4 linked regions of the Caenorhabditis elegans genome follow. The main gene of each other region encodes a partner of the protein of the gene in region 3 in a complex. Each region holds a gene or a part of one and is shown on either strand. Other genes may lie near its edges. The genes, in order: eif-3.G, eif-3.I, eif-3.C and eif-3.K.

Region 1 (6,283 bases), on a different chromosome or scaffold from region 3:
TCTATTCAAATCATCCCTTCTTTTATTGATTGTTATTTTTGGATGTGCTCATGCAAAGTTTCATACTCATTTTTATAATTTCCTTCTTGGGAAATTTGGAAAACCCATTGCTGATGATTTATTGAGACCCGATCTCGGAACGAAAGGATCTTTTGGTGGAGGCAATCCAAATGCAACGTGAGTTGTGATTTCTAAAAATGTGGAAATTTTCCTTCATTTCCCATTGCTCTCCCTTGACGGTTCATATCTCAGTTTTCTCAAGCAAGATTATTCAAAAACTGTTCAACTATGAAACTAAAGAAAATTATTTGGCATATCATACTTTTCGTAATATTACTGTTCAAAATGTTTTGCTAAAACCAACGTAAACCGATATGAGAGAAGTCAAAGTTGAGCAAAATGGTATAGGAAAAACACTTTTCGTTCGATTCAATGAAATATTGCTAGAATTTATCCTAATTCAAAAAATTTACTCAATTTATTCCAAACAAAATTTTAAAATTTTAAAACATTTGTATAGTCTTTTGAATACAATTTTTTATCGTGCGCTCCTACAAAAGCTTTCAAGATACATTTTGTTTACGTAGAGTTTAATGTTTCAATTATCTTATTTTACGAACAATTTTGTGAAGCTTGGTGACTGCAATCGTGGTTAGACCTACGTAGAACTTACCTTGACAGCGAGGTCTCATGATTTTGCGAATTTACCGTTGACATTTTCAAAATTAAAAATTCATGAATTTACAATTGCAATTCGACAAATATATATTTCAATTTCTTTCAAAGAAGACTTTTTTGAATTTCGTATATTCCAAGACTGGAATTTAGGTGTGTAATAACTTGAAATAATTTGTCACAAAAACTAAGTCAACTAAAATATTAAACAGATAGATCTACGACATTTTGTTGCAACCTATTATCAGAACTAGACGAACAATGTTCTAGTGACCGGCTTCAGATAACCAATGATCTGATGTCAACCAGATCACACCTTTCAAATCAGAATGATGTCATGATTTTATTTTTTGAAAAAAACACGAAAAAAAACAGTTGTAGTGATCGAAAGATTGCTACACATAGATGACGAGAAAACCGTGCAGTGTCACTTGACCTCTATAAGTGTAGCCTCCAATTACATTTTGTTCTCACACTGAATCAGTCATGACTTGATGGTCAAGACGATTCCGACACAAATATGTATGGTGGTTTGTGTTCGTATCATTGTGTGTGACGTCACAAATCCCGATTTCTGATCGTATCCTGATCCGAAACAAACGCAAACAAGATGGAACAAGTATTTTCACACACCCGTTCATAAAAAGTGTTTCTTTTAGGGGTCTTCCAATTGTGGTAATTCACGGGTTGGCTGGATACGCTGGATTATCAAAGAAAAGTTTATTGAACAAATACTATTCGTATGGGCAACCAAAGGGAACTGTATTCGCAACAACATATGCAAGAGGAAAGCTGATGGACTCATTGCAACACGGAATGCAATGCGATTATGTGTTGAAGGTAGGTGTAAAGAAATGATGGGATTATATAATAGACATGAGAAATCATTTTGATTTGGGAATTTAATTTAGACTCTGAAAACTACAAGAGGAACACTTGCAAAAGCTAAGATCAAGTGTAGTGTAACTATTGTCATCATCACCAACATCATCATCATTAAATCTAATCTTTACAATGAGAAAACCTCGCCATATCATGTCTCCGTTCTGACGCGGCGCCACTGGTGTAGTGAATGTGTAGTTTGTGATGGTCACAGTTAGACTGGCCTTGTGGGGGAATTTCTATAACTTCTGGGTTTGATCTCGTCTGTTAATATAGATAAATAGAGAACAAAGGGATGATCGGTGATCTTTCAAGACCCGATTGATAACGGCCGGAGTGACGTTGAAACGGAAAAAGGACGTGACCCGAAAAAAGAAGGGATTGTTTACAAACTACACAAAACACAGATTTATAATGACTGGTTGGGTAGACATCTTTCGGAAGGGATCCGGATTGAGAAGGATATTCTAAAAGAAAAGATGAAGGGGAATCTATAGGTGAAATAGGGATTACAATCAACGAAAGGAATATTGCAATCCAAACTGTAACTCTAAAATTTCAGGTTCGCACTCTCATTCTTGCTGTTCATGAATACACTCAGAAACCAGTAAACATCATTGCTTGCTCCATGGGATCTCCAATTACCAGAAAAGCTATTCTTGGAGGACACTGTGTTGATAGTGGAGTCAATTTGGGACGCCCAATTAATCATCTAATTCATAATTATGTTTCTGTTGGTGGAGCAAATCACGGAGCTATTATGTGCGCCAAGCAGCCATTTGTGAATGGAATCTGTAGTTTAACACATGGTTTGGATTGCCGTTCCAAGTTCTTACAAGAGATCAACTCACAGTAAGTTTCGCAAAAAAAGTATCCCAGCACAGGGAATTGAACTCATGCAGGTGTGCGTGAAAGGCAAAACTTTTAGCCACTAAGCCAGCAAGGCTTTTCATTTTTTGGGTATACTAGGGCATACTTAAATTTAATTACGTTGTTTTCTGTACACATAAACATTAATTTCATGATTTTACAAGTCAACATTTTTTTCAGGCCGTTCCAATACGGAAAGAACATGTTCGCCATTTATTCCGTAGCTGACGAAGTTATTGGACTCAGAAATACGTGTGGAGAGATGTCCTCACCATTAGAAGGAGCCACTTCAATCGTCAAAACTAGACTAATGCATGGAGCAGTTATTGGTGGAACTACAGAAGATCAATGGAGGGCTCTTCAAACCTCATAAAAACAAAATCTCACCAAAAATACTAATTGACATCAAATTTCACTTGTGATCTCTTTAATTTCCTTGTTTATATTGATTCGAACTCGTTGCTTTCATTCAAAACTTTGTGTGTATATTGTTCAAAAGTTTAATAAATCAGTACAATCGTTGATTAAATTGGTATTTTGAACGAAAATGATCAGAATGTTAAATTCGTCCAAGTGATCAAGTCCATCAGGCGACTTGTAAGAATTCTCATAAGAATAGAGATAGGAAACTGCTATATTTCGCAGATCAATCTAGACACATGATACAATGTTGTGATTTTCTCCGAAAACGAAGATATTTATTATTTTCTTCAGAAATCTCTTCCGATGAGACTGAATAATCTGTGAAAACCGGAGCGGCGGCGCCATTTGGCTTTTGGGCAATACGGTGCGCAATTCTGCAAACACATGATCCCACGCGCAAATGCACAGATTTCCCAATGCGTCGTTGTTTCCCAAATTTTCGATTTTCGGGATATTTCTACATTTTTAAAAGATTTCCAGCCGTGTTTTTGTTGTAGAATATTTTTTTTACATATTTATAGTTTGTTTTTATAGATATTTGCTAAAAACTATGAATCTAGTTGAATATTCGCTTATTCTGGAAAAAAAAATCAAATACTTTAAAATCTACATGTTTTGAAGAGCTGTTTCTTTTTAATTCTGAAGTTTGTTAAACCATTTATTTGAAATTTTTTCTTATTTTATATTGCTAAAAACATAATCAATAGTTTTTCAGGTAGTAAAGTTACAGCTATGACTGGCATTAACGCGTGAGTTTTCACCCTCGAATAATTATTTACGTAAAGAAAGTTTCAGAATGGCTCCCGCTCCAGAAGTTGTAAGCTGGGCTGAGGCCGTTGAGCAAGACAGTAAGTTTTTCATTTCTCGTCTTCAAGAATATTTACGTGAACTTTCACGGTTTTCGCATTTGGAGTGCAACCGCCTAACAAAACGAGTCATTTCTGTATGAACTGATGAACGCTTTTGCAGACGCCCCACACATCCAGGAAGGAGCTGATGGAACACGTACCGAAACAGCTTTCACTGAGGTTGATGGAGTAAGATGGAAGGTTTGTTATCCGATGGCCAAAAAATTCGCCTTACAGAATTCTCGAGTTATGCTCTAGAATTCTTTCAATTCCAAATTTCAGGTTGTGACACAGTTCAAAGTTATCAACAAACGTGTACCAAAAGTCGTCGCTGATCGCAAAAAATGGGTGAAATTCGGAAGTTGTAAGGGAGAGCCAGCAGGACCCCAAGTTGCCACAACTTACGTGGCTGAAGAAGTCGATATGCAATTCACAAGAAATCGCGCAGGAGAGCAGATTCTTGACGTTCAAGAAGACAAACAGACTGCTAAAACTACAAGCCGTGAGCATTGCCGTCATTGCAAAGGAAACGACCATTGGAGTACTCATTGTCCTTACAAGGTCATGTACCAATTGGACGAGGAAGCTGATGCTGACAAGGATACTGAAAAGGATAGAATGGCAATGGGAATGCGTCCTGATGGAAGACAAATCGATAGAAATCGGTAAGCATTCAAAATACTGTAATCTAAGTTGCCCAAAAAATCTTGATGATTGAATAATTTATGAACTATTTTTAAAACATACTTTCAGATCCGATGAGAATACATGCCGTGTCACCAATCTTCCGCAAGAGATGAACGAAGACGAACTTCGTGATTTGTTCGGAAAGATTGGAAGAGTCATCCGAATCTTCATTGCCCGTGACAAAGTCACTGGTCTCCCGAAAGGATTCGCCTTCGTTACATTTGAATCAAGAGATGACGCCGCCCGTGCAATTGCAGAACTCAATGATATCCGAATGTACCATATGGTTCTCAAAGTCGAATGGACACGTCCGAGCAACTAATCCGTTTTCTGATTTATTTATGTTATGCGTACTTGGATGTTTTCCCGCTGTTTGGTTCTTCATAATTTCGTAGCTAGTGTCTGTCTAAACTGAAAATTACTGTAGACCAATTCGATGTTTGTTGTTCTTTCCTATTGAAATCATAATTTTTACTTTCTATGGTTATCAGAGTTGGCAAGTGAAGTTTATTTTCACGAAGGCAGTTCTAGCTATGAAAATTGTTGGTATTTCCTTTTCTTTCTTCAATGATAAATCTATCTCTTCCTGGTTATTTTTTCGTTCTATTTTTCCAATCGAGTTGGGTTTCTGTCCAATGTAAAATATCATAGTTTGAATAAAAATCTGATGGCTAAAAATTTTCAAACGCAATAGAACATTTTATAACTCAAAAATTCCAGATGGGCTTCTTGAAGATTCTCCGTAAGCAACGTGCTCGGGAACGCGAGATGAGAATATTAATTCTTGGATTAGACAACGCTGGAAAGACTACTTTAATGAAAAAATTCCTCGACGAGCCGACTGATACAATTGAACCAACATTAGGATTTGATATCAAAACCGTGCATTTCAAAGATTTTCAACTAAACTTATGGGATGTTGGCGGACAGAAAAGTCTAAGATCTTATTGGAAGAATTATTTCGAATCCACAGATGCTTTAATTTGGGTGGTAGATTCGTCAGATAGAGGTAGAAACAAATATTTAGGATACATTCAAATTTATAAAAACTTTTTTCAGAGCGTCTTCTACAATGCTCCGAAGAACTCAAAAAATTGCTCGGAGAAGAACGATTAGCCGGTGCTTCTCTTCTAGTTCTTGCCAACAAAAGTGATCTGCCAGGGGCCATTGATGTGAATTCAATAGCACAGGTAATTCAGATGTCTTCAGTATATACTTCCGAAAAGAAATGCTTTCTTGTAAGCCTTAACATGTAGATATTTATATTAGATTCATTATTCACATGTTACTCTCGTAACATACATTTTGAAAATGAAGAAAATCTTTAAAGAGGCACGGAAACATAGGAACCTTGAAACTACTCAACCTATTAAGAATTTTCTAGGTACTCGATCTCCATTCCATCAAATCCCATCACTGGAAGATCTTTAGTTGCTGTGCACTTTCTGGTGATCGACTGGTCCAAGCAATGACATGGTTATGCGATGATGTTGGAAGTCGATTATTCATACTTGATTAAAATTGTTATCAATCAAACTGCTTTGATCTCATTTCACACTGCTTGTAAATATATAAAAATTATAGATTTTAATTTATTTTTCATTGAAAAACAAAATAATAAGGGCTTCAATAAATTATATAAGAAAATTGCACACCGAGATTTCGGTTGACATGGTTGGAGATTTAACAAGCTGATTGCATCTTGTCGGATGGCACCATCATACGGGATACGATCATATAAGTGATGAAAATAGCCACGAAAACGGTAAGACCAAGGAAGACAGTGACAACGGAGATATGGAAAGAGCTGATACACAATTCTTGTCGGAATGAATCTTCTCCGATTTCTCTCGAAGCTACGAGAGCTTGAGCTTGTGTGAGAGAAGATGGGAGCTGAA
Region 2 (8,536 bases), 7.5 Mb from region 3:
GCATGTGTGAGCAAATACGAGACAGCCGGATGCTTTGCCAGTTGGGAACAGGACGAGAAATCGCAATTCGTGAAGAACGAGGAGACAATCGATCGAATGTACAAGAATAATGCCGTCGGATTCAGATATAAATGTGAGATGAGCAATGGATACATCTCGTTTGCTCCGATTGGTTGTGTGCTCAATAAGAAGGCGGGGCTTGAGCTGTTGGAGTTGAATGCCAGCGGACAACTTGATAATAGACAAAATGTGAAATGTAAGCAGAATAACGAAGGAGAATTCAGTTTTGAATTCGGATCAGAAGCTCAGAAGAAGAATTAATTGATTTTTTAATGTCTTTTTTCGAATTTGGGACACGTTTTTGAGCTTTTTGAGCTAATAAAGTTGATTTTTAAGCATTTTTTCATGATTTTAAGGTAGAAAAATCGAATTTTCACCAAAAAAAACTGGGAAAAAACGCAAAATTGTTCCACTTGTGGAGGTATTCTCATGTTCCCGTGGAGTAGAAAAGCCTAAGCCTAAGCCTTAGCTTAAGCAGTTGAGCTTCATCTCAAATTTGTGATTTTTGAGAATTATTTAAAGCTTCCGATTGAACAAAACTGCACAATTTCTGAAAAACGTGCTATTTCATCGTATTTTAGCTTAAAAATACGATTTTTTGCTCGAAAAATCGCTATTTTGACCAAAATTCAACGGAAAATTCAATTTTTCCATTAAAATTCCACTGAAATTCATATTTTTCGAGGTAAACCGCAGGTTTCGTTTGCTCCGATGAGCTGTTAGAGTTGAATGCCAGTGGACAACTTGATAATGGACAAAATGTGAAATGTAAGCAGAATAACGAAGGAGAACTCAGTTTTGAGTTCGGATCAGAAGCTCAGAAGAAGAATTAATTGATTTTTTAATGTCTTTTTTCGAATTTGGGACACGTTTTTGGTGCTTTTTGAGCTAATAAAGTTGATTTTTGAGCATTTTTTCATGATTTTAGGGTGTAAAAACCTAATTTTACACCAAAAAACTGGGTTTTTCGGATGAAAAATGCAACTTTCCAAGTTCCTTTGGAGCTTCCGAGCTTCATCTCAAATTTGTGATTTTTGAGAATTGTTTGAAGCTTGCGACAACACAATTCCTGGAAAACGTGCTATTTCATCGTATTTTTGCTTAAAAATACGATTCTAAGCACGGAAAGTTGCTACTTTGAACGAAGTTCAACGGAAAATTCAATTTTTCCATTAAAATTCTACTGAAAATCATATTTTTCGAGGTAAAATCCAATTTTCGCAGATTCCATTTGTTGATTTTTAAGCATTTTTTTAAAATGATTTTAAGGTGAAAAAATCCAATTTTCCCCGAAAAACTGGACTTTTCTTAAGAAAAATGCTAGATTTTTCCAGTTCTGGAAAGATTCCCACGTTCCAGTGGTGCTTTCCAGCAACTTTTTCACAAATTTCTGTTTTTTTTTTCAAAATAAACTGCTTTTTTTTTTAGAAATTATATATTTTTTGAGCAGAAAAAGTGAAAATTTCGATATATATTAGGCCTAAAATGGAATTTTTTGAAGAAAATTCAGAAAAAAATTAATTTATAAAAGAGAAAAATCGATATCTCAGCTACCGTAAAAGCTTTAAAGGCGCATAGCAAAATTTAATTCTAACTTTAGAGACTGTAGTTTTCGCTTCGAGACCACAAGCTTATTTTTCGCTCTAATTGGCTAAAAATTAACTTTTTCGAGGCAAAAATTTCTGGAATTAGCTTTAAAAAATGTGAAAATACATATTTTTAACCTAAAAATTCATGGAAATTTCTATAAAATGTTTTTTAAGGATTTTAAAACGTTTTTTTCAACAAATTATCGCAAAACCCCACATTTTTACTAAGAATCTGTGTGGCATTTCTGATGAGTGCTGGTGATTTTGTCAGTGACGAGAAACTGCGGTAAACTGCCTGAAAATCAATATTTTACCGGAAATTCTCGGGTTTTTTAACGATACCTGCGATCTGATAGTGTTTGACGCGTTCCGTAGGCCAGCTATTAGTCGTAATTGTAACATTATCGATCTCTGAAAACTGGATTCGGTGAAGCTTTCGCAAAAAAATCGATGAGAATTGAGAGTTGCGAAATTTAGCAGTTATTTGTGGTGGAACATGTTAAAATTTGAGTTTTTAATTAATATATTGCTAAAAATTTGATAAAATTCACTTTTTAATTGTTGAAAACTACTGAAAACCACTCGAAATTGCTGAAAATTGCTGAAAATCGAAATTTCGTCAGCTGATGTCGATTATTCTGCGCGGGGGTACGGTACGCAAGTCCGCAAACACTGTCACGCCAAATTGCGGAGGTTGAGCCAAATCCTATTTCTTGTTGTTTTTTCGCTTATTTTTCGAATATTTCCCATGTTTTCTGGCTTCTAATTTTCATTTTTTTAATGGAATTTATTAATAATTAAGCCAATAATTCATTTTATAATCAAAACTGCCGAATATTCCACCAATTTCTCGCAGAAACCTTCAAAAATAGGGGATTTCTTTCAGAAATGCGTCCACTTTCGCTGAAAGGCCACGAACGTGCTCTCACTCGGGTCCGTTTCAATCGTGAGGGAGATTTGACGTTCTCCTGTGCTAAGGACAAGAAGCCATGCGTTTGGTATACTGAAAATGGAGAGAGAATCGGTATTTTTGAATATTTTCGCGAAAAATTTTCGCAGAATTAAAGGTGGAGTAGCGCTAGTGGGAAAATTGCTTTAAAACATGCATATGGTACCACAATGACCGAATATCATGATTAAAAATTTCAAAAAAATTTTCTAAATTTTATATGATTTTTTGAAAATTGAAAAAATCTCAGTTTTTGCCTAATTTCAATTTTAATTACCGCCAATTGGATTTGTTCGATGGAGCGCGCTTGCACGTTTTTAAATTTATTTATTTTATTTATTGTTATTTTCCACCGATTTTTAATGTTTTCGGTGTATTTTTGCTTGAATTTTAGAGAAAAAGTCAAAAGAATTGCAAATTTTCAATTAAAAAGCACGCTTACAGGCGTAAATCAGTGAAATTTATTAATTCAGGTTCGAAATCGTTTAAAAGCGTTACTTTTCATTTTTTACGCCTCTAAGCGTGCTTTTTAATCGAAAATTTGCAATTATTTTGACTTTTTCTCTAAAATTCAAGCAAAAATACATCGAAAACATTAAAAATCGTTGGAAAATAACAAAAAATAAAATAAATAAATTTTAAAACGTGCAAGCGCGCTCCATCGAACAAATCCAATTGGCGGTAATTAAAATTGGAATTAGGCAAAAACTGAGATTTTTTTCAATTTTTCAAAAAATCATATAAAATTTAGAAAATTTTTTTGAAATTTTTAATCATGATATTCGGTCACTGTGGTACCATATGCATGTTTTAAAGCAATTTTCCCACTGACGCTACTCCACCTTTTAAATATATTTATTTATTATTTTTCTTTTCAGGTAGCTACGACGGGCATAACGGAGCCGTGTGGGATATCGACGTCTCATGGGACACTACCAAGTGTGTCACCGCGTCCGGAGACCTCACCGTGAAGATTTGGGATGCCGAGCTCGGCAACTGCCTCTACACAATCAACCATCAGACTCCGATGAAGTCGTGCGGATTCTCGTATTCAGGAAATTTGGTGTGCTTCACCACACAAAAGATGACAAAGAATCTCTCGACGTTCCAAGTCCGAGATCTTCGTGATTCAAGTCAAATGGTTGAGGGTGGAGAGTCATTCTTCTACTCACAATTCGATGTGAACGCCACGACCGCACTTTTCACTCAGATGGATGACCTCGTGACGATCGGATTCGAGTCTGGACTCCTTCAGCAGTACGATTTGAGAAATCCGGATACACCAATTCACACTAACGAGAGTGTTCATCGTGTTCGTCATTTTTTCGTTGTTCTCTGGAGCGCTTGCTGACACTTTACGATCTCCTGAATTGGCGGAAATTTTATTGCTAATTTTTGGTTTTTATTGTTGTGGGGAAACATTATTAGAGCCGAAAGTGTGTACAATTTGGAAAATTGGCGAAATTTCGCATTAAAAAACCGTGCGCGGCACAGTTGCGAAGAAGGCGTGCCAGGGTTGCATCCTGACTCCGCACACAAGATTAAAACCAAAAATTCGAAGAAATAATTTAGTTTTCTCGAAAAATGGAACAAAATCGGCAGTTTTTTCGATTTGAAAGCCGTGAAAATCTCATTTTGAAGAGAAAAAGCAGCAAAATCCGGCAGTGATTGATTATTTTGATTATTCTAATTTTTTTCAATGAAAAAACCAATTAAATCAATTAAAACTGTATTTTTCTCTACAAAAAATGTATATTTTAAAATTCTGAAATCAAAAAACTCCCGATTTTTGATGTAAAACCTTAAATTTTACGCGTTTTCGAGTCGTATAAAGCTTCCCAACAACAATATCCATCAAAAATTTATATTAATTTCCATAGAAACCAAAATTAGCAAAAAAACCTTATTTCCCGTGGAAACAAAATTCCGCGAATTCGGGAGTTCGTGAGGTGTCAGCAAGCGCGCTCCAATGATTATAAGACCGAGGCTCCACGAAATTCAAGATCTTGTGGAATTCCGGATCTGGCACCGTACCAACTCAAAAAAAATTAACGCAATTTTTCTGGAAAAAATCCTGACAACGATGCTCCGATGTTACGCATCGCGTGTTGTTTAGCGTTTTTCCTGAAGAAAATTTAAAAAAAAACCACATTTTTCTTCGAGAAAACTGCGAAAACTGCAGTTGGCACGGTGCCAGATCCGGAATTCGACGAGATCTTTAATCCGTGGTGCCTCCGTGATTTCTAAAATAATTTCAAAAAAAAAATTTCCCAAAATTTCAGTACAGCGTCCAAGATCTCCAACTATCACCACGCGGCGATTTCCTGATCTCCGCTTCACGCGACAAGACGGCCGCCCTGCTCGACGTGAACGATCTGAAAAAGCTGAAACAATACAAATCCGAGCGTCCCGTCAACTCGGCATGCATCTCACCGAATCGCGATCACATTTGCCTTGGAGGAGGAGAAGACGCGATGCAGGTCACACAGACGTCTGTCTCTGCTGGACACTTTGAAGCCAAGATCTATCATATGGTGTTCGAAGAGGAATTCGCCAGATTCAAGGGACATTTCGGACCGATTAACACGATGGCCTGGCATCCATCGGGCACAATTATCGCGACTGGAGGAGAAGACGGTATGGGGATTCCACTGCAACTTTTTTTTTGAACGAGGGACGAGGAAATGCGGTTTCTAGGCCATGACCGAGGATCCGACAAGATTTATCAGCAATTTATCTTGCTTTGTTTTCCGCGTTTTTTCTTTTATTTTTCACCGATGTTTCCCCCGTTTTTTCTTATTAAAACTGATGAAGAAATATTGTTTTTGCAGATGCTAAAATAATTTTCAAGTGAAAAAATTGTGAATTCAGCCGGCAAGTAGCGGTGGAAGTGGTCAATGTAATATGATGGATTACGGGAATACTAAACCTAAACTTTCTTCCAAAACATGCTATAAATGCTGCTTAGATGCTGAAACTACCTGATTTTAATAACGAGACCGCTGAAAAAGTTTTGAGATTTTCAAAATTCAACCTTTTTGGCGAAAAAGTCGAGATTTTTCCACAAAATGTTGAATTTTGAAAATCTCAAAAAACTTTTTCAGCGGTCTCGTTATTAAAATCAGGTAGTTTCAGCCTCTAAGCAGCATATGTATCATGTTTCGAAAAAAGTTTAGTGTTTAGTATTCCCGTAATCCATCATATTACATTGACCACTTTCACCGCTACTTGCCGGCTGAATTCACAATTTTTTTCACTTGGAAATTATTTTAGCATCTGGTTTTAAAAAAATTTATTTATCAGTTTTAATAAGAAAAAAACGGGGGAAAAATCGGTGAAAAATAAAAGAAAACTCGCGGAAAACATTGCAAGATAAATTGCCGATAAATCTTGTCGGATCCTCGGCCATGGCCTAGAAACCGCATTTCCTCGTCCCTCGTTCAAAAAAAAGTTGCAGTGCGATTTGAGGATTTTTCATATAAAAATTCAAAAATTATTGATTTTTTTCCAGGTTACATCAGAATTCAAGAGTTCGACGAGGACTACCTCGGCTTCACCTACGATTTTTAATTTGTTCTACGTTTTCGTTTTCTTCCTGTTTCCCGGGCGATCGTATTTGCCAAAAAAAGACCGTTTCCCCCTTTTTCCTACTCGTTCCTGTTGAAAACCGCCTAATTTTAGAGTTTAAATGACGAATTTAAGCCTATGCAGTTCGGAAAACCTTTAAAATTTATCAAATTCTAAAATTACGCGGTGGTGATTTTCTGTTTTTTCCATTTTTTCCATATTTAAGATCAATTTTCGGTGGCTTTTAATTGTTTTTTTTTTCATAAATAAATATTATTTTGAGTTAAAATTGATCTATTCCCTCGAATTTCTTGGTTTTAATCTCCAATTATTATATTTTTAAAAAAAATTAATTTTTTCTCAATTAAAAATTAAGAAAAATTGTGGGCGGAGTCAGAATGCAACCCTGGCACGCTTTTTTCGCAACTGCCGCGCACGATTTTTCCTGCAATTTTTAAATATTTTTACCCAATTTTCAGCGTTTTCAATGCCTCACACAAACGGAAAAGGCGGCGGAGCACAGAAATGGGCTGGAAATAATAAAAGAAAACGAAATTTCGATGGCGAGCAGGATCCAAGTGTCAGAAAAGCGTTGAAGGAGAAGCGGCTTCTGAAAAAGAGAAAACAGGATTTAAAGGGACAGGAGGAGACAATGCTCGACGAAGTTGAGCAGAAATATCAGGAAATGCTCAAGGTAGCTCTAAAAAATAGTTTTTTTATTAAAAAATCGATTTTTCCAGAAAAGCTCCCGCACATTTCTCCGCTTCGAGGATTTCCCGCTCTCCTGGAGGACACTGGAGGGTCTCAAGGATAATGACTACACAAAACCCACAGAAATCCAACGGGACACGATTGCCTACTCTCTGACCGGCTCAGATGTCGTCGGAGCCGCAAAAACCGGCAGCGGAAAGACTCTGGCACTGGTGATCCCCGTGCTGGAGGCTCTTTGGCGAGCAAAATGGTCTCCAGACTATGGTCTCGGAGCGCTAATCATTTCACCGACACGAGAGCTGGCTCTTCAGACATTTAGCACAATTAACGCCGTCGGAGCCCATCACGGATTCTCGTGTGGCTTGGTTATCGGCGGAAGTGACGTGGCATTCGAGAGAAATCGCATCAGCGGGATTAATATCATCGTTTGCACACCGGGACGTCTCCTACAACACATGGATGAGAATGCTCAAATGAGCTGTGATTCGCTTCAAGTTTTGGTGCTCGACGAGGCGGATCGAATGCTTGATATGGGATTCTCGAAGCAGCTCAACTCGATCATTAATAATTTGCCCGCGGAACGTCAGACGCTGCTCTTTTCGGCTACTCAGACACGAAATGTCAAGGATTTGTGCAGAGTTTGCACAAATGTGAGGGATTTCGCCCGGAAAATTGAAATAATTCCGGAATGGTTCATTAATTGAATAGGAACACGGAAAAATCGGCAATTTAAACACGTTTTCCACGTCTAAGAATTCGATTAATTTCCCAAAATCTCAATTTTTGCTTAAAAATTTATTCTCAAATTTTAACACTAAAAAAAATCCAGAAACTAATTTTTCCGTGCCTTAAAACTCAATTTTCTTGGAAAATAACTCTCAATTTTCAAAAATTTGCATGAAATTCGTCCAAAAAACTTCTAAAATGACTTTTTTCGATTAAAATTTAAAAGTTCGGCTCTTTTGCGACAAAAATGCGGTGATAAGCTTCTCTTTTTACTTTTTTGATATGAAAATCTGCAAAAACTGGTCAATTTTAAGTCAGAAAATTGGTATTTCACACCAAAATACCAAAATTGGCCATAAAATACGGTATCCGGTCTCGACACGACAATTTTTGTTCAATACAAATGGCTGTGCGCCTTTAAAGAGTACTGTAACTTTGAATTTTTGTTGTAGTGGAGTGGAATTTATATTTTTGTTGATTAAAAAATTGAGATGAAACTCAAATTTTAACCGAAAAAAAAAGAAAATTCCATGCTGCAACGAAAATTTGGAATTACAGTAATCGCTTAAAGACGCACACCCGTTTGTATTTACCAAAAAATTGTCGTGTCGAGACCGGGTACCGTACTTTGGACCAATTTTGGTCTCTCCGGCTGAAATACAATTTTTCTGACATAAAATTGGCAAGTTTTTGCAGAATTTCATACAGAAAAAGTGAAAAGAGAAGCTTATCACAGCATTTTTGTCGCAAAAAAGCCGATCTTTTTTAATCGAAAAAGATAATTTTATAAGATTTTTGGACGATTTTCAAGCTAATTTTCGAAAATTCAGCCGTTTTCTTTCATTTTTCGAGTTATTATCTTAGAAAATTGAGTTTAAAGGCAAGGAAAAATTAGTTTTTAGATTTTTTAAGTGTTAAAATTTGAGAATAAATG
Region 3 (8,095 bases):
GATTAAATCTCAAAAATAATAAATAAAAGTAGAATGTTTTCTGGTAACACATAATTTTCTTGAAGTTTATTTTTCATAAAAATGAGTTTATTTAGAGGAAACCGAAAGATTGAAAAATTTTTTGAGAAAACTAAAAAATGTATGTTTCATTAAATCAAGTCTTGTTTATGTTGAAGATTATTTTATTCTAAAAAGAGGAAAACTTGCCAAAACTTAAAGAATTTTCCGAAAAAAAAACTAAAAAACGATAATTTTCGATTTTTTAATTTTTAAAAATTAAAAAATTTTCAATTTTCAATTTTCGATTTTACTGGAAATCTAAATTTTTTCGTTTTCTATGAAAAGCCGATAAGCGAAAAATTTGATTTTTTTAAAAGTTTTTTTTTGATTTTCCGGAAAACCAAAAAATCTAAGAACAATTTTTTAAAAAAAATCTAGTCAAAAAATCATTTTTTTTTAAATCAAGTCTTTCTTATGGTAAAGAGAAAAAATTAAAAACATATCCTTTCATTCTAAAGAGAGGAAAAATGGCGAAAATTTATGGCATTTTTCGAAAACTGTTCGATTTTTAAATAAGTTTAATTATCATATTTTTCAAGCCAATAATTCTGAAATAATACCTGATCGGTGTTGTATTCACGATCCATGAGTTCTTCAAAAGCATTATCAATAACTCTTTGATCAGCTCTTTCAACTCTAATCTCTCCAACAGCCTCTTCTCCAAATAACTCGTCATCATTATAATCATCATACATCTCATCGTCTTCATCGTCATCCTCTTCTTCTTCCGAATCTTCACCTCGTCTTGTACTTCTATAAACTGTAGTTCTTTCATCAAGAAGACCACCAGCAAGTGTGATAAAATTATCTTCAAGTTCTCCGGTGTTACGATCATCTGTCACCTCTTCCAACGCATTTGCAACATCTTCGTCAAAAAATTCCGGTTTCTTAAGAGCACCGACAAGTCCGAAAAGTGGTGGAGCTGGTGGGAATGCTGATGAACCACTCGTTTTGATGGTCGTTTTCTCGACTTCTTCATGAACATTTTCCAGCTTCATCGGCTGAAAATTTAAATGATTATTTTACCAATACAAGAAGATTGTTTTTCGATTATGTTCTAAAAGAGGTGATCGAAAAATTGTTTTTTTTTTGATTTTCCGTAATATGGAAAACTTTTTTTTAATCATCCATAAAATTCAATTTTATGAAATAATGTAAAAAATGCTGATTAAAAAAACATAGAAATTTTTTACTTAAAAGAAGTACAAAGACCAAAATTTTAAGCTATTTTTTGACATATCCTAAAATCTTTTGATTTCATTGAAAAATCGAAAAACAAACACTTTTTTTTAAGTTTCGGTATTTGATCAAATTGATTTTAAGATGACAAACCTCATTAACAGCTCGCATGTGCTGCAAATAATCATAATCATCGTCGTAGTAGACTCCATACTTTTGCTGTTCCTCCAAATGTTCTTGAGTTGGCTTGAATCGTTCACTTCTTTCCCTATTATCCGGAACCAATCGAAAACTTTGACTGGCTTTCTTATCAATGAATGCCTTCCTTTTACCCATTTTGAGGCGAAATTTATGTTTCCAGTAACCTGAAATATGAATTCTATGTTAATTTTTTGTTACTTTTATTGTTGGATCTGAGAAAATAACTGATTGGACAGAACCGGGGCTCATAAAAAATTACTTAAAATTGGACGAATCAAATTAAATATTTCATTAAAATAATATCCGGCAACCCAATATAAATAATTAGCAAAAACAAAACAGTATGGAAAGAGTATAACTTAAACACTACTAACCGGAAACGAAAAATGAGAGCTTTAAAGTTCAGATCTCACACTGAACAAGGAAAAGTGGGAAAGGGTGGGGGATTACCAAAAAAACTGATCAATTAAATAAAAGATTCAACAAGTATTGGCGCCTGCAAAAAGTTTTTGAGACTAATTGCAGGCGCCATGAAAGGCGTATTAGCGGGTTCCACGAATGGGAGAGACGATTGAAAAATGGATATTTAGAAGGCTCGTGGCTTTTGAGGATGACGACGTTGCTGACCACCTTGAGATCCCCAATTTCCTCGCTTTCCGTCTTGTCCTTGTCCTCCACGTCGTTCTCCTTGGTATCCACCAGATCCTTTCTGCTTATCTCCTTGCCGCTCGTTCCTTCCTGGAAACCACGATCCTGGACCTTGATAACCACCACGTCCAGTGCGCGGCTCCAGAATTTGTTCATTGTTTTCGGCAAGAGTTTGAAGTTTGTCAGACAAGTTGAGAGCAAGCATTTGAAGTCTGGAAGGTTCAACACGGTGCATGATGAGACAGTCGGTGGGCTCGTCAAGTGTAGCCGAAAGTTCCTCTTGGATGATCATTTTACTGAAAAAATAAAAAAAAATTATGTACTGTCTAGTAAAATATTACAAATACCTGATGATGCTATGAACATCTTTCTTTGAAAGTTCGAACAAATCCGCAAGCTTCTTGAGCGAAACAGTGGCATAAACTGTAGAGTATGTGAGCAAATAAGTTCTGAGAGATTCCTCTTGAATACGTCTCACAACCATTCCCTTAACAGTCTCAGCGTTATGGAAAAGATTCCAGACCTTCTGGTTCATCTTGTCATTGACGATATAGTCTTGACACTTTTTCCAATCTCCATTCAACATTGCTTTCGATGCGGCGACAACATGTTCACGGGTATTCTCTGGTGGTCCAGTGAGAGAAGCTTTCTCGCTTTGCTTCAATTGGTAATGGAAACTTCTGCTGAGCATACGACGACGCATTTCGAATTCGCAACTAGCCATGTGTGGAATTTCGAGAAGCATCGAACAGATCAGATAGACACACTCCATAAGTTCAACATTGATGTGCATATGATATGGAACTTGACGGGAACGATCAATCTTCTCTTGTTCAGCAGTCTTTTCGTGCTGACGAGTTCCAACAGCTTGAGCAAGCAACTCCTTGGCACGTTGGGTATTTTGAATTTCAGATAGTCCTTGATGAGCTTCGCGAATGAAACCGTGTCGGAAAGCGCAGAGACCGAGTTGGCAGATAGTTCTGTTGTAGAGGATTTGAGTGTCGACATCAGAATGATCAACGATAGCTTGCATGTGACTCATAAGAAGAAGATCTCTGGCGCGGTGCCACTTGTCATGAACAGCCAGATAGTAAACATGGCAGAGCATAGCACGTTGTCTCAATCGTTTCTCATCATCAAGTGTATAGATCTTATTACACAAGTAATCCATCAACTTTCCAGCATCCTCCTCATTTTGATCTTGATATTTGTAGTAGGCATGCTCGATGCGCATCATGTACACTTTGCAAACTTCGTGTTTATCGAAAATGCCAGAATCGTTACGAAGTTCAACGTACTTCTCGGCCTTTTCAATGAGTGAGCACATATCCTTCTCGGCCTTCAACTTCTCGATATAATCATTGGAATGACAATCGGCGTTTTGAAGAATTTTAGCCAACTCTCCGTCCAATCTTTGCACAGCAATCAGAATACTTCCTTGAATGCGATACTCTTGAGTGTCATCCTGCAAATATTAGGATTTTTATTAATTTTAGGAATGCAAGTATTACCTTCAGATTTTCATCTTCTTCAGCATATGTCACAGATAACTTTACACGATCAGTTCCGATGAGAAGATCGAGCAAGCTGTTGACGGTTTGCAGAGTGGTCATGAATGTTTCGTACTCCATGTGATCACTAATTTTAGCGTTCAATTCGAAAAGAGCCGAGATTATGCAGAAACTGATTTTAACGTTGATTCCTAGACCAAGTTCTTTCTCTTCCGATACCTCCAAAAGTTTTCGAAGATTAGCAACATGTTGATTACGATCTGTCGTTCGTTTTCCACGAGCCGACATAACCTCATTGAGTTTCTTAATCATAACGTCATGAGTAACTTCTTCCTTGGGATCAAAGTGAACAACAGACTTCTCACGATTAACTGGAGTCCAATCCGCATCATCGTCTTCCTCGACAGCTTCTTTGACTCTGATAACTCTCTTCTTCTTTTCTTTCTTGTCATCTTTGCTCTCCACGCGGAATTCTTTTTTCAAGAAATACCTACGAAGTTGCTCCATCTTAGTCACACTGTCTTCGTCATCAGAAGAATTGGATTCTGGTTCAGAAGACCAGTTAGAGGAGTCGTCATCGTCGCTGTCACTGTCACTATCGCTCACTGCAGCTTTCTCAGATGGTTTTCCAGGTGACTTTTCAGCCTTCGATTCAGAAACCTCTCCAAAATCATCGTCGTCTTCATCTTCTGGAGTTTCATATCCATCCTCGTCAGGATTAACGCGATAATCGGTAACAAGATCTTGCAGTTGTTGATCCTTGATGTATTTTTTCAGTTTTTGACGAAGAGGTGGAAGAGCTTTTGCGTTGTTCTTCGAAAGAGCAGATTTAGCATCTTTATCATCCCATAATTTATTTACGTAGTCTTCGATTTCCACAAGAGACCTGAAATATTTTATATCAACTACTAAGTTTTCATTAGCATTTTATTTTATGATGTGACTGTAAATTAAAAATATATCTCACCTTATGTAAAATCTTGGATTTGCGACATTCTGACGTTGAAAGACCGTCTTGGACTTATCATAAGCTTTGGCCAGAGAATCAAAACCTGTTAGAAGTCTGTTCAGATCTTTGTTGCTCTTTGCATCTCGATTTTGCTTGATAATTCCTTTCAGCTCATCGAATTTTTTGTCCTTTTGGGCACGAACAACACGCTTCTCATCTTCTTCAGGACCGGCCATGAAATCGAGATCATCGCTGAAAGATTAATCAATCTTTTGGAATTACTTTGGAGATTATAATTACCGAAATTTCGCGCTTTTGTTCACTTTTTGATCCTCTACCTCATCCTCGCTGGACGAAGTGTCGGAATCAGAGTCCTCCTTAGCATGGAAGAAGCGAGACATTGCTGAAACAAAATTGACATTATGAAATCCCAAAACAAGAAGCAAACAAGCAGTAGATACACAATTAGACAGAAATTCCAATATTATTTAAAATTTAAAATGAATAAAACGATTTTCCCTTTGAAAACAATTCAAAAAACAGCTAATGGGTCAATATTTAGCTGAAATAAATTTAAGTGGAAGTGGAACATAAGAAAATCGTTGCAAGACCTTACTGGCGCGTTTCGCGTGCACGGGAGATGCGTCAGCACTCGCCACTTGCGCCAGTGGGCATTTGCGCGGAGATTTAAATAATAATTTATTATTTAATCACAATTCCACAATTTCAGGTTAATTTTACAGAACGAGAATAGTCTCTAAATAACTTATATATGAACCGAGTATTCAGTAAATCAATCCAACATTTAAAAAGTTTTATAATTTTATTTTCTATTCAACGTAAGAACATCGAAGAAAGACGTATATAAGACAGGAATTTGATAGTTAAAATGCAAAGATAATCGCGAAAATGTTTTGTATTCAAAAATATTATGCTACAGACGTAAACAAAGAAACAACAAAAAGAAAGAGATAAACCGAGGGCAAAATGAGAAGAAATGTGCTATAAATTAGGAAAATCGGAACGTTTTGTTTGTTCTAAACTCGAATTCATATGAAATCGTCAAGAATGAGGAAATTTGGGACCGGTAGAAAATGAAGAAAAGAAGAGAGAACATATTTTAATCAATAATACGACTATGTACACGCTAAAACAGCTTCCAACTAGACGAATTAATGGCTTTGAACGGGGATTTTTGGGATGAAAGATGGAGTTGACAGATTTATCCATTAAATCAGAAATATTCTCGATTTGAAAAAATACCAGCAAGAAGGTCGTTTTCAGGGAAGCGACTCAGCAGAGAATTCGCGGCTTTAGCTGAAAAAATGCATTGTAATTTAATTTATGAACACATTTTCGAGACACATACCTATATCTGAATTTCTATGATTCGTCAGTCCTTCCAACATCGGCCTGTCAATCGTCCAAATATCCGCACGCGTCGGGCAGTGCTCCAAAATCTTGTCACATACAACAAGCACATTGTGAATAAACGTTGGTTTCACTTGATTTCCGTTCAGCAGATTTAATGGGCAATCAATTGAATACGAGTACTGTGCCACCTCTTTTTCAGCTCCACATTGCTCCATGAGCACAAGCAATAAACTTATGGTACGTTCAACAAGTTGCTGCTTTGTGGATTGAGTTCTTGTATTGTTCGGTTGACGAAAAACCCATGAATAGGCGGCACAAATGTGTCCTATTAAATTTTCCTTCCGATTTTCATCAATAACATTCAGAACACCGTCTTTTGGAACAAATGGTGTTCGGAGTAACAGTATAAAAGATCGGAGAATTGTACTTCGAAGTTCCAATAAACCAGGTGTATCCATTCCTTCACATGATAAACAACTCATCAGTTTTTTCAGAATATCCTGAAATAATTTAATTCATTTTTATATCGTTTTTCAAATTCCAAAACGTACAATTTCGATGAATTTGCAGACCTGCTGCTTTTCATTCGGTCCAGCCGTTTTCGTTTCTCCATTGGGCGTTGGAATCCACATCATCAGGAAATTGTTCAATGTACGCAGACAATTGCAAATAATTTCACAAACTCGATTTCTTTTCGGAGCATCGGTAAGTTCATCTAGTCGTGGATACTTTGAGATTATCGTGTGAAGTAGGAAAATTGCATTGGATCGTATAGCAATATCTTTTACGTGTTGTTTATGAGCCACTACGTTACTCAGAAATCCTGTTCCACTATAGATAACTTCATCATCCGGATGAATTTCGATGAGTCTCAGTAACTGAAAATTTCCGGTTTTAAACAGTTTATTTGAAGGGAGAGAAGTTTTTTTTTAATTTGAATAGACTAAAACTAGCCTGAAACGACCGAATTTAATAATGAAACTTCTTACAAAAGTGAAGTATCACTATGGAATTAGATAGGTTTGGGGCATCTAGTATAATTTTTTAAAGTAAAAGAACACATAAATAATTTTCTAATAGTCCAGTGATTTTCTAAACGTAAAACTTACGAATGGTAATATATTCTCCAATGGAGTCTTCGCCAAGGCTTTTGCATCAGAGACCTGAAGTAAGAGCTTACATCCAGCTCTTATCAAATCATTGTTTGGATACTGTACTACAGTAGTAATTGCTCCAACTCCATCAGACCGTACGAATCCATCAATTGCATCGGAATCATGAAGGAGAAGACCCAGAAGATCAAATGTTCGGATTATAACTTGGATAAGATGAGCTCTGGAAAATTAATATAACTTGTTAGTGATGGAGGAATTTTTCATTTTTAAACTTACAATTCTGGATTTTGAGGTAATGTTTCAGGATTTTGGCCTGCAATCAATCGATACGATCCGATCATTACAGCATTCAATTTTATAATTAATCCTGTTGGCGGAGGAGGTTGATCATGTGGATTATTGTTCCATATGAAGTAATCTTTCAATCGAGTATCCTTGCTAATAATAAATCGAAAAATGATGAAAATTGCTGGATTTATCATTCCCGGGTGTACTTGAGGATTAAAGTACTCGGAGAGAGTGCCAACGAGTTTTTCGAATTTCAAATGTTGAGCGAATTCTGTTCTCAATTTCTCGTTTTTCACTCCCATTATGATACAGTTGAAAATTTGAAACACCTGATTTGCGCAGTGTTTCATGTGAGGATCTTTTTGCCAATTTAACGAAATCAAATTGCAAATCAATTCTCGAAAATCTTGTGGACCATTCTCTCGAGGACAAAACATTTGAACAACTTGATGAATATATGGTGAAATAATGGGTAGAAATGTGAATCTTCGAAGAATATCCAACAGATTATACCAGAGTTGAGCCTGAAAAAATATGATTTGAAATCTGTAATTTGTGTTGAGACTTACATAATATGAAATTGGAAGTTGAACTGGTTGAGGTTTCAGACCATCGTAAATTATGTTAAGGATTTGTTGTACGCAGTTCTGAAAAAAATTACAGATTTTGTAAAAAGAATTCCAACATTTTTGGAAAACTCACCGGCATATTTGCCTGATCAACTTGTGCAAATTTATCTTGTCGTATCCAAGTTCGTATTGTTTTTGCCA
Region 4 (6,262 bases), on a different chromosome or scaffold from region 3:
AAGAAAAATTTCAATAAGAATTGTATAAAAATGTTTTCAGTATTATAGAACAAATATTCATAAACACGTTACCGAAACAAAAATCTTTGGGAATTTGCAACAAACAACTGGAAAGAGTTACCAAAAGTTGGCAAAAATTGGAAAAAATTGAAAAAAGTTGGTTGAGAAGTGGGTTAATTTGGCTGGTAAGTGACCACCAATTGCAGTGTTCCCGGCCTATGGTTTAACTAATATTCACGGCCACGTAGCATTTGACATGTTGTGGGCCTCCTCCACAAGATGAGACGGCAGAGAAACATACGGTCTCTGCGTCTCTCACTCCTACATCTGATCTCATTTATTTTGCACATATTGATCTACCGTCCGGCTCTAGTATGTAGACATTTTTGTTGAACCTTTTGAAGTATAAGACATATAAAAATGTCTGTATACAAAAGAGTAATTTAAAGGATAAATATCAACTCCAGTCGACAATGTAGTACTAAGTTAACTCAGTACTACATTGTCGATTTTTGAAGGTTTTTTGAATTTAAAAAAAGTTGGCTTAAAGTGAAAAGCGGCTAATGGAAAAACTTATTAGTTGAGTTAAAAGAGAGAAATTTCGGTCCAAAGATTACGCTGGCTACTACAGTACCCTCTTTACTGAAGAGCTGATAACTACATAACAAAATGTTCAGTTTGAAATGATTAATATTTCTTTAGTTGACAATATTTTTCTAACCTGTAAGACAGACTAGTTGCATGTCCCCAAAAGCTACATTGATTAGAAAGTCAAATAACAGTTCATGAAATACTTTTTTTAAAAGTTAGAAGAAAGTATTCACAAAATTGTTAGATATCTCATATAAAATAAGTTCCCAATTGAAATATCAATTTCAGGTTTCAGGACTTAGTGGTATAGCCGGTTTAAGATGGCCAACTTGGAAATGTCAAAATCCCCATAATTTTTTGTATATAGAAATGTAGTTCTTGTTAGTAAAAATTGTTTTAAATCTGCTTGTCATAATATTTGGTTAATAAAATTGTTGTATCTTTAAAGATAACGGAGATTGTAAGGTTTTAATTAAGGGTGGCATGTAAAACCACAGCCATCAAGTTATGGTCGTATCTTTTTATTGAGAAGAGATATCAAAAAACTCTCAACTTAAGAAATGTCTGTCTTTTTGTAATGCTCATTTTGTCAGTTTATCATTAGTCTCTATCTCAAACATGAACAGAGTTATATATGCTCAAAATCTATGAAGTGCATCCACTTTCTACAATCAAGGCTATAGCTGCTACAGTCTACCGTATCATCGATTTCTGCTCAAATTTAAGAACTCCTGTTGAAAACAACGGCAAGGTGGCCAGCAAGCAAACCGCGAGAGAGTTGGTACATTTCTTGTGAAGGAGACCGTGTACAGATTCCACGTCGCGCTGGCCGAGCCTTTGAGGACTAGTAATACGGTGGAGTGTCGTTAGCGCGCTCTGTTTAGCAAACATTTTTCATTTATTTTTAGGGTTTTCAAGAGAACATTTCAATAGTTTTCATCTGTTTTTTTTTGTATTTTTAACATTAGTTGTTTCAATTTTTTTCAGAAATGAAGGTAGTTCTTCAACGAGTTACTCGAGCTGCAGTCACCGTAGGTGATGAAGTGGTAAGAATATATTAACCGTTATTGTTTAAAATATCATAATCAGGTAGGTTCCATTGGAAGAGGTCTGTGTGTGCTTGTCGGAGTTCATCGAGATGACACGGAAGAGGATATGAAGTATATCATTAGGAAAATTTTGAATCTACGAGTTTTCCCTGCTTCGGAACAAAAACCATGGGATAAATCAGTTATGGATCTCGATTTAGAAGTGCTGTCTGTCAGTCAGTTCACCCTTTACGGTCAGTTTAAAGTGAGTTTTGTCTAATATACTTAAACAAAACTATTCATATTATTTCGTTTTTTAGGGAAATAAACTGGACTTTCATACCGCAATGGCCCCAACAGAAGCTTCAAAATTTTATGCTTCTTTTCTTGAAGCCATGAAAAAAGCTTACAAAGCTGATAAGATTCAGGACGGCAAATTTGCAGCAATGATGAGCGTCGATATTGTAAATGACGGACCTGTTACAGTTACTTTTGATAGTAAAGAAAAATAATAAAAATTTGTTTTACTACTGTTGAATTTTGTACAATTTTGTTCATACAGCGGTTTGATTCCGTCATCATATCTTAATTATTTTCATATATTTATATTCTCTGGCAAAACCTCATATTACGTATACCTTAAATGCGAGTTTTCAATATCTTACGCACATTGGTCTCACCACGCAGACGACGACTTACTGTAACTTTTGTCGATTTATGGATTTTGCATTAAATTTTGATTATATAAATCGTAACAGAAATTTTTCCTTTAATTTGAAAATTATGAGGCAAATGTGGCCCTTAATTTGACACCAGTTACAGTAACCCGATATCAGCGTGGCGAAACCCATACGCTGAGTTTTCCTCTAACAATAGTTTTTTCTTATTTCTAATGTAAATCTCATTAAAAACTGAAAAAAAAACTTGGAAAAACGTCTCCATTTCAGTTTGTCTGATAGCAAATCGAGTTCACTGAAATCTCTTAACCCAAATGGGGAGTGCCTCTAAAATCGAGGAAGATCTGTGCAGGATATGCCTTCAGATTTATTCGATGCGCCTTTAAAACTATTGTTATTTTGATTGAGAAAATTTTTTTTCTTTCTCTTAAATATTTTTCTATCAGTTTTGATGTGTTCTGTAGCTTTTTTTCTAATTAATGGAGAAACTTAGCGTAATTTTAATCGATTTGACAAAAGATGTGCGCAACTTTATGCAAGATTTTTTTCACTTTGCGCAGGACTTCATCGAGTCTGTTCAGGAGTTTCACTCTACTTATTATTTCTCGCAGAGTTTCTTTTCTTCAATTGCTATAATTTGTTTTTAAGATGTCGTTCGAGAAACTGCAAAAGGAATTGCACGAAGCTATCGAAGGAGTAAACCGATACAATCCGGAAAATGTTGCCGACTTGGCTGCCTGCGTTCAAGCTATGGTCAATGAAAACAAGTACGATAAAGATATCGTTTTGACCATTCTCAAGCTCTACCAGCTTAACCCGGAGAAGTAAGTATTCAAGAAGATTAATAAATTTCAAAGAGAATTTTTCACAGGTACGACGAGGCTGTTGTTCGACAAGTTTTGCTCAAGACGTTGATGGTTTTGCCATCGAGTGATTTCGCTCTCGCCAAGTGTCTCATCGACACCAACAGACTCGGATCTCAAGAACTTCGCAGAATCTTTGATCTTGGAGCTGTGCTCGAATCTTGCAACTTCGCTGTTTTCTGGAAATTGGTGAAGGGGGCGTATAAAGTGAGTTTTTACACTTTTCAAAGAATAGATTTATCTAATATTGAAACAAGTGAGCTTTTCAAAATCAAACCTTGTTTTGTGTGCATCTGAAACTCAGTATTTATTTCAATGCTGAATCTATTTATTTTTGGAATATTCTTTAATTTCGGCGTACGACTAATCAATTTTTAAAATTTCAGCCAACAACGAACCCAAATGAACCCTTCAAAGTTCCTGGCGAAGTCCCAAAAATGATCAAGCCAATGGTCGGATTCGAGGATGCTGTCAAGCACTGTCAGTTAAATATTATTTTTATTGCTTGACAATTTCAATACCAAGTTTTCAGATGCTTGTCGCGTCATCAGTGTTACGTTCCAAAAAATCGAAAAGAAAATGTTGAGCCGTCTTCTCGGCGGAGCCAGTGACAAGGAAGTTACCGCACTGGCACAATCATTCGGATGGGAAGCCAAGGAAAATGGAGATGTTTTCTTTGTTGCAAATCACGAAGGAACTATCAAAACAAGAAATATCGACGAGAAAATTCAATTCCCACGTGAGTATTATGCGTATTAGGTTTTTCAAACGATTTAAAAAATGTCCTAATAATCGAAGAACAAATTTAAAATGCCTAGTAAAATCTCAAGTGCATCTATCATTTTCAGATGTCGCCGATCTTCTGACCAGCATTCAACCCCCGTTGACTCTTTAATATCAATTATCACTGTCATTCAAATTATAATACCCTTGTTTCTGTTGTTCGGTTTTCCCCCGTTTCTATTCCCTTTCCTATTTATATTTCCTTTATGTTTTCATGAACTTTATTCAATATTCACTTTTACCCGCATTTTATGCATATAATATTTAACATGGATCTTCTTTTAGCGTCAAGTCTCCGTCGTTGCTCCGATGACTCTCAAACCGTCAGGTGCTCTGACTACCCATTCAGGCCACCCGCCAAAATAGATCTTCCCATTGTAACCAGATCGTGTCAAAGCCCACCAAACCATTGCCGATCGAAGTGACGTGGAACAGTATATAATCTGAAGAATATGATCTAGCGAGAAATATTATCATAATTTCAAAAGATTTTAGCATGTCTTCTCGAAGACGCATGGATTCATCCAGATTGGTCTCGACGCGCAAATAAGTTTATGGTACTTCTTTAATTTTGCATTTTTCAATGAAATTATCTTGTTTACAGGGTGGGCCAAAAGTATGGTAACACGTTTGCAGCTCTATAACTTTACTAGTGAAGAGAGTTATTACATCAATTTGTACAAGTTTTGTTCTCCATAAAATACTGACCAGATGAACGTTTTGAATTTTCAAAATGTTCCCATCCGCATCGCTGCAGGCCTTCAGAACTTTTGAGATCACGACCTTTATGGCACGCAAGTCGGCATTCTGCGGTTTTTCTACATTTTTCTCGAGGAATCCATCAAGTGTCTTACAAGTTTTATAGTTCAAAGAATGCTCTTGGTCTAGAGATTCTTTAAAAACAAAAATCCAAATAATTTCTATCACGGTATTTCTGTCATGGACTGCGGCAGTAGGTTAAGTCTTGAATGGCATAGTCGCCAGAAAGATGGATGTGAGCGGCGAGTAGCAGTATGCAGAAAAATTCATTTTAGTATTTTTCGAGACGTTTTGACCTGACTTTCCAGAATTTTTTTAGAAAATTGAGCTCGGATAATTTTGTGGGTCGTTACGCCTTGCGAAACCAAAAAAACTGAGTAAATTTCGCAAAGTTGAATTCATGAAAAATTCAAAGGTTCTTGCTAGGCGCCAGTGTCGACACAGAAAATTTTTATATGCTACAAAAACAATCAAAAACGCTTCTTCACTTCTTTAACTTAAAATTTAACATAAAAATCATACATCTGAAAATTATTGGCGTGCGTGGGAGGTGTGTTTGTGTGGGAAGTGCCGCGTGCCAAATTACCGTTTTTTCGAGGCAATCTATCCCATGCTCACATTTCCCATGCACACATTTCCCATGCTGACACTTTCTCCCGTGCACACAAAATTCCCATGCTTACGCCCAGTAGTTCGAGTACTCCCATGCCTACAATTAATTTTTCTCCTTTTTTTCCGTTCCCATGCTGACATTCCCATACATACATTTTCTCCCGTGCATACAAAATATTCTGATGCTTACATCCAGTAGTCGAAGTACTCCTATGCCTACAACTCATTTTTCCCTTTTTTTTCGTTCCCATGCTGACATTCCCATACATACATTTTCTCCCGTGCATACAAAATATTCTGATGCTTACATCCAGTAGTCGAAGTACTCCTATGCCTACAACTCATTTTTCCCATTTTTTTCGTTCCCATGCTGACATTCCCATACATACATTTTCTCCCGTGCATACAAAATTCCCATGCTTACATCCAGTAGTCGAACGTTCCCATGCCGACATTCCCACACATACATTTGTTCCCATACTTACAAAAATGTATTCCCATGCCGACATGGAGCATTTTTGTGCTCCAGAAGAGCACAAAGTCAATTTTTTTGCTCATTTTCATTGTATTAGGCTTACTTGACAGCTTTCAGTTACAACTGATCGCTTTTTTTTCAAAATGCATTAGTTCTCGATTATGAACAAGGAATCGAAGAAAAATGGGGATGACTGCCTATAGAGTAAAATTTTTTTTTGCTCAAAAAAAATTTTTTTTTTTGAAAATTTTTTTTCTCTCTATTTTGTAGGATATAATTAATTCGGTGAATTCCACAACTTCAAATGTTCATATTGCTGTTTCCGTGCAGTAATGAGTTTCGCAGTGTCTTAGGAACATTCCATTTTTTGTTGCATTTTGTAGGAATTCGGAGCTATCTTATAATTTCTACAAATTAGAAAATCCATTTCACATTATTTCATGTAACTTGAACCTATTGCTTCAAAAATAGCAC

Evidence for each region.
Region 1: eif-3.C (region 3) and eif-3.G share a complex: the UniProt entries of both Caenorhabditis elegans proteins name them as parts of the eukaryotic translation initiation factor 3 (eIF-3) complex.
Region 2: eif-3.C (region 3) and eif-3.I share a complex: the UniProt entries of both Caenorhabditis elegans proteins name them as parts of the eukaryotic translation initiation factor 3 (eIF-3) complex.
Region 4: eif-3.C (region 3) and eif-3.K share a complex: the UniProt entries of both Caenorhabditis elegans proteins name them as parts of the eukaryotic translation initiation factor 3 (eIF-3) complex.

The regions. Positions count from the first base shown.
Region 1 is NC_003280.10:8,439,202-8,445,484, forward strand, and holds eif-3.G (Eukaryotic translation initiation factor 3 subunit G), read left to right. Parts: upstream 1-3,565; 5' UTR 3,566-3,582; coding exon 3,583-3,599; intron 3,600-3,645; coding exon 3,646-3,698; intron 3,699-3,819; coding exon 3,820-3,899; intron 3,900-3,980; coding exon 3,981-4,363; intron 4,364-4,451; coding exon 4,452-4,707; 3' UTR 4,708-4,974; downstream 4,975-6,283. Other genes in the region: lips-10 (LIPaSe related), read left to right, coding at 1-177, 1,335-1,515, 2,120-2,409, 2,608-2,800; evl-20 (ADP-ribosylation factor-like protein 2), read left to right, coding at 5,106-5,394, 5,445-5,575, 5,770-5,904; cut-3 (Cuticlin-3), read right to left, coding at 6,069-6,278. UniProt on the Caenorhabditis elegans protein: RNA-binding component of the eukaryotic translation initiation factor 3 (eIF-3) complex, which is involved in protein synthesis of a specialized repertoire of mRNAs and, together with other initiation factors, stimulates binding of mRNA and methionyl-tRNAi to the 40S ribosome.
Region 2 is NC_003279.8:2,483,332-2,491,867, forward strand, and holds eif-3.I (Eukaryotic translation initiation factor 3 subunit I), read left to right. Parts: upstream 1-2,529; 5' UTR 2,530-2,537; coding exon 2,538-2,673; intron 2,674-3,476; coding exon 3,477-3,910; intron 3,911-4,880; coding exon 4,881-5,235; intron 5,236-6,109; coding exon 6,110-6,168; 3' UTR 6,169-6,456; downstream 6,457-8,536. Other genes in the region: abtm-1 (Iron-sulfur clusters transporter ABCB7, mitochondrial), read right to left, coding at 1,867-1,944, 1,992-2,051; Y74C10AR.2 (Conserved secreted protein), read left to right, coding at 1-321; ddx-10 (ATP-dependent RNA helicase), read left to right, coding at 6,653-6,859, 6,906-7,526. UniProt on the Caenorhabditis elegans protein: Component of the eukaryotic translation initiation factor 3 (eIF-3) complex, which is involved in protein synthesis of a specialized repertoire of mRNAs and, together with other initiation factors, stimulates binding of mRNA and methionyl-tRNAi to the 40S ribosome.
Region 3 is NC_003279.8:9,974,712-9,982,806, forward strand, and holds eif-3.C (Eukaryotic translation initiation factor 3 subunit C), read right to left. Parts: upstream 4,952-8,095; 5' UTR 4,950-4,951; coding exon 4,849-4,949; intron 4,801-4,848; coding exon 4,567-4,800; intron 4,486-4,566; coding exon 3,600-4,485; intron 3,554-3,599; coding exon 2,436-3,553; intron 2,385-2,435; coding exon 2,027-2,384; 3' UTR 1,715-2,026; downstream 1-1,714. Other genes in the region: T23D8.3 (Protein LTV1 homolog), read right to left, coding at 621-1,061, 1,393-1,575; Beta-catenin homolog sys-1, read right to left, coding at 5,783-5,865, 5,918-6,422, 6,474-6,800, 7,032-7,257, 7,314-7,849, 7,895-7,972, 8,028-8,095. UniProt on the Caenorhabditis elegans protein: Component of the eukaryotic translation initiation factor 3 (eIF-3) complex, which is involved in protein synthesis of a specialized repertoire of mRNAs and, together with other initiation factors, stimulates binding of mRNA and methionyl-tRNAi to the 40S ribosome.
Region 4 is NC_003283.11:12,951,058-12,957,319, forward strand, and holds eif-3.K (Eukaryotic translation initiation factor 3 subunit K), read left to right. Parts: upstream 1-2,944; coding exon 2,945-3,120; intron 3,121-3,167; coding exon 3,168-3,366; intron 3,367-3,545; coding exon 3,546-3,639; intron 3,640-3,691; coding exon 3,692-3,898; intron 3,899-4,007; coding exon 4,008-4,054; 3' UTR 4,055-4,172; downstream 4,173-6,262. Other genes in the region: T16G1.18 (uncharacterized protein), read left to right, coding at 280-372, 880-966; pqn-68 (D-aminoacyl-tRNA deacylase), read left to right, coding at 1,581-1,637, 1,681-1,884, 1,940-2,131; mpst-7 (Rhodanese domain-containing protein), read right to left, coding at 4,230-4,385. UniProt on the Caenorhabditis elegans protein: Component of the eukaryotic translation initiation factor 3 (eIF-3) complex, which is involved in protein synthesis of a specialized repertoire of mRNAs and, together with other initiation factors, stimulates binding of mRNA and methionyl-tRNAi to the 40S ribosome.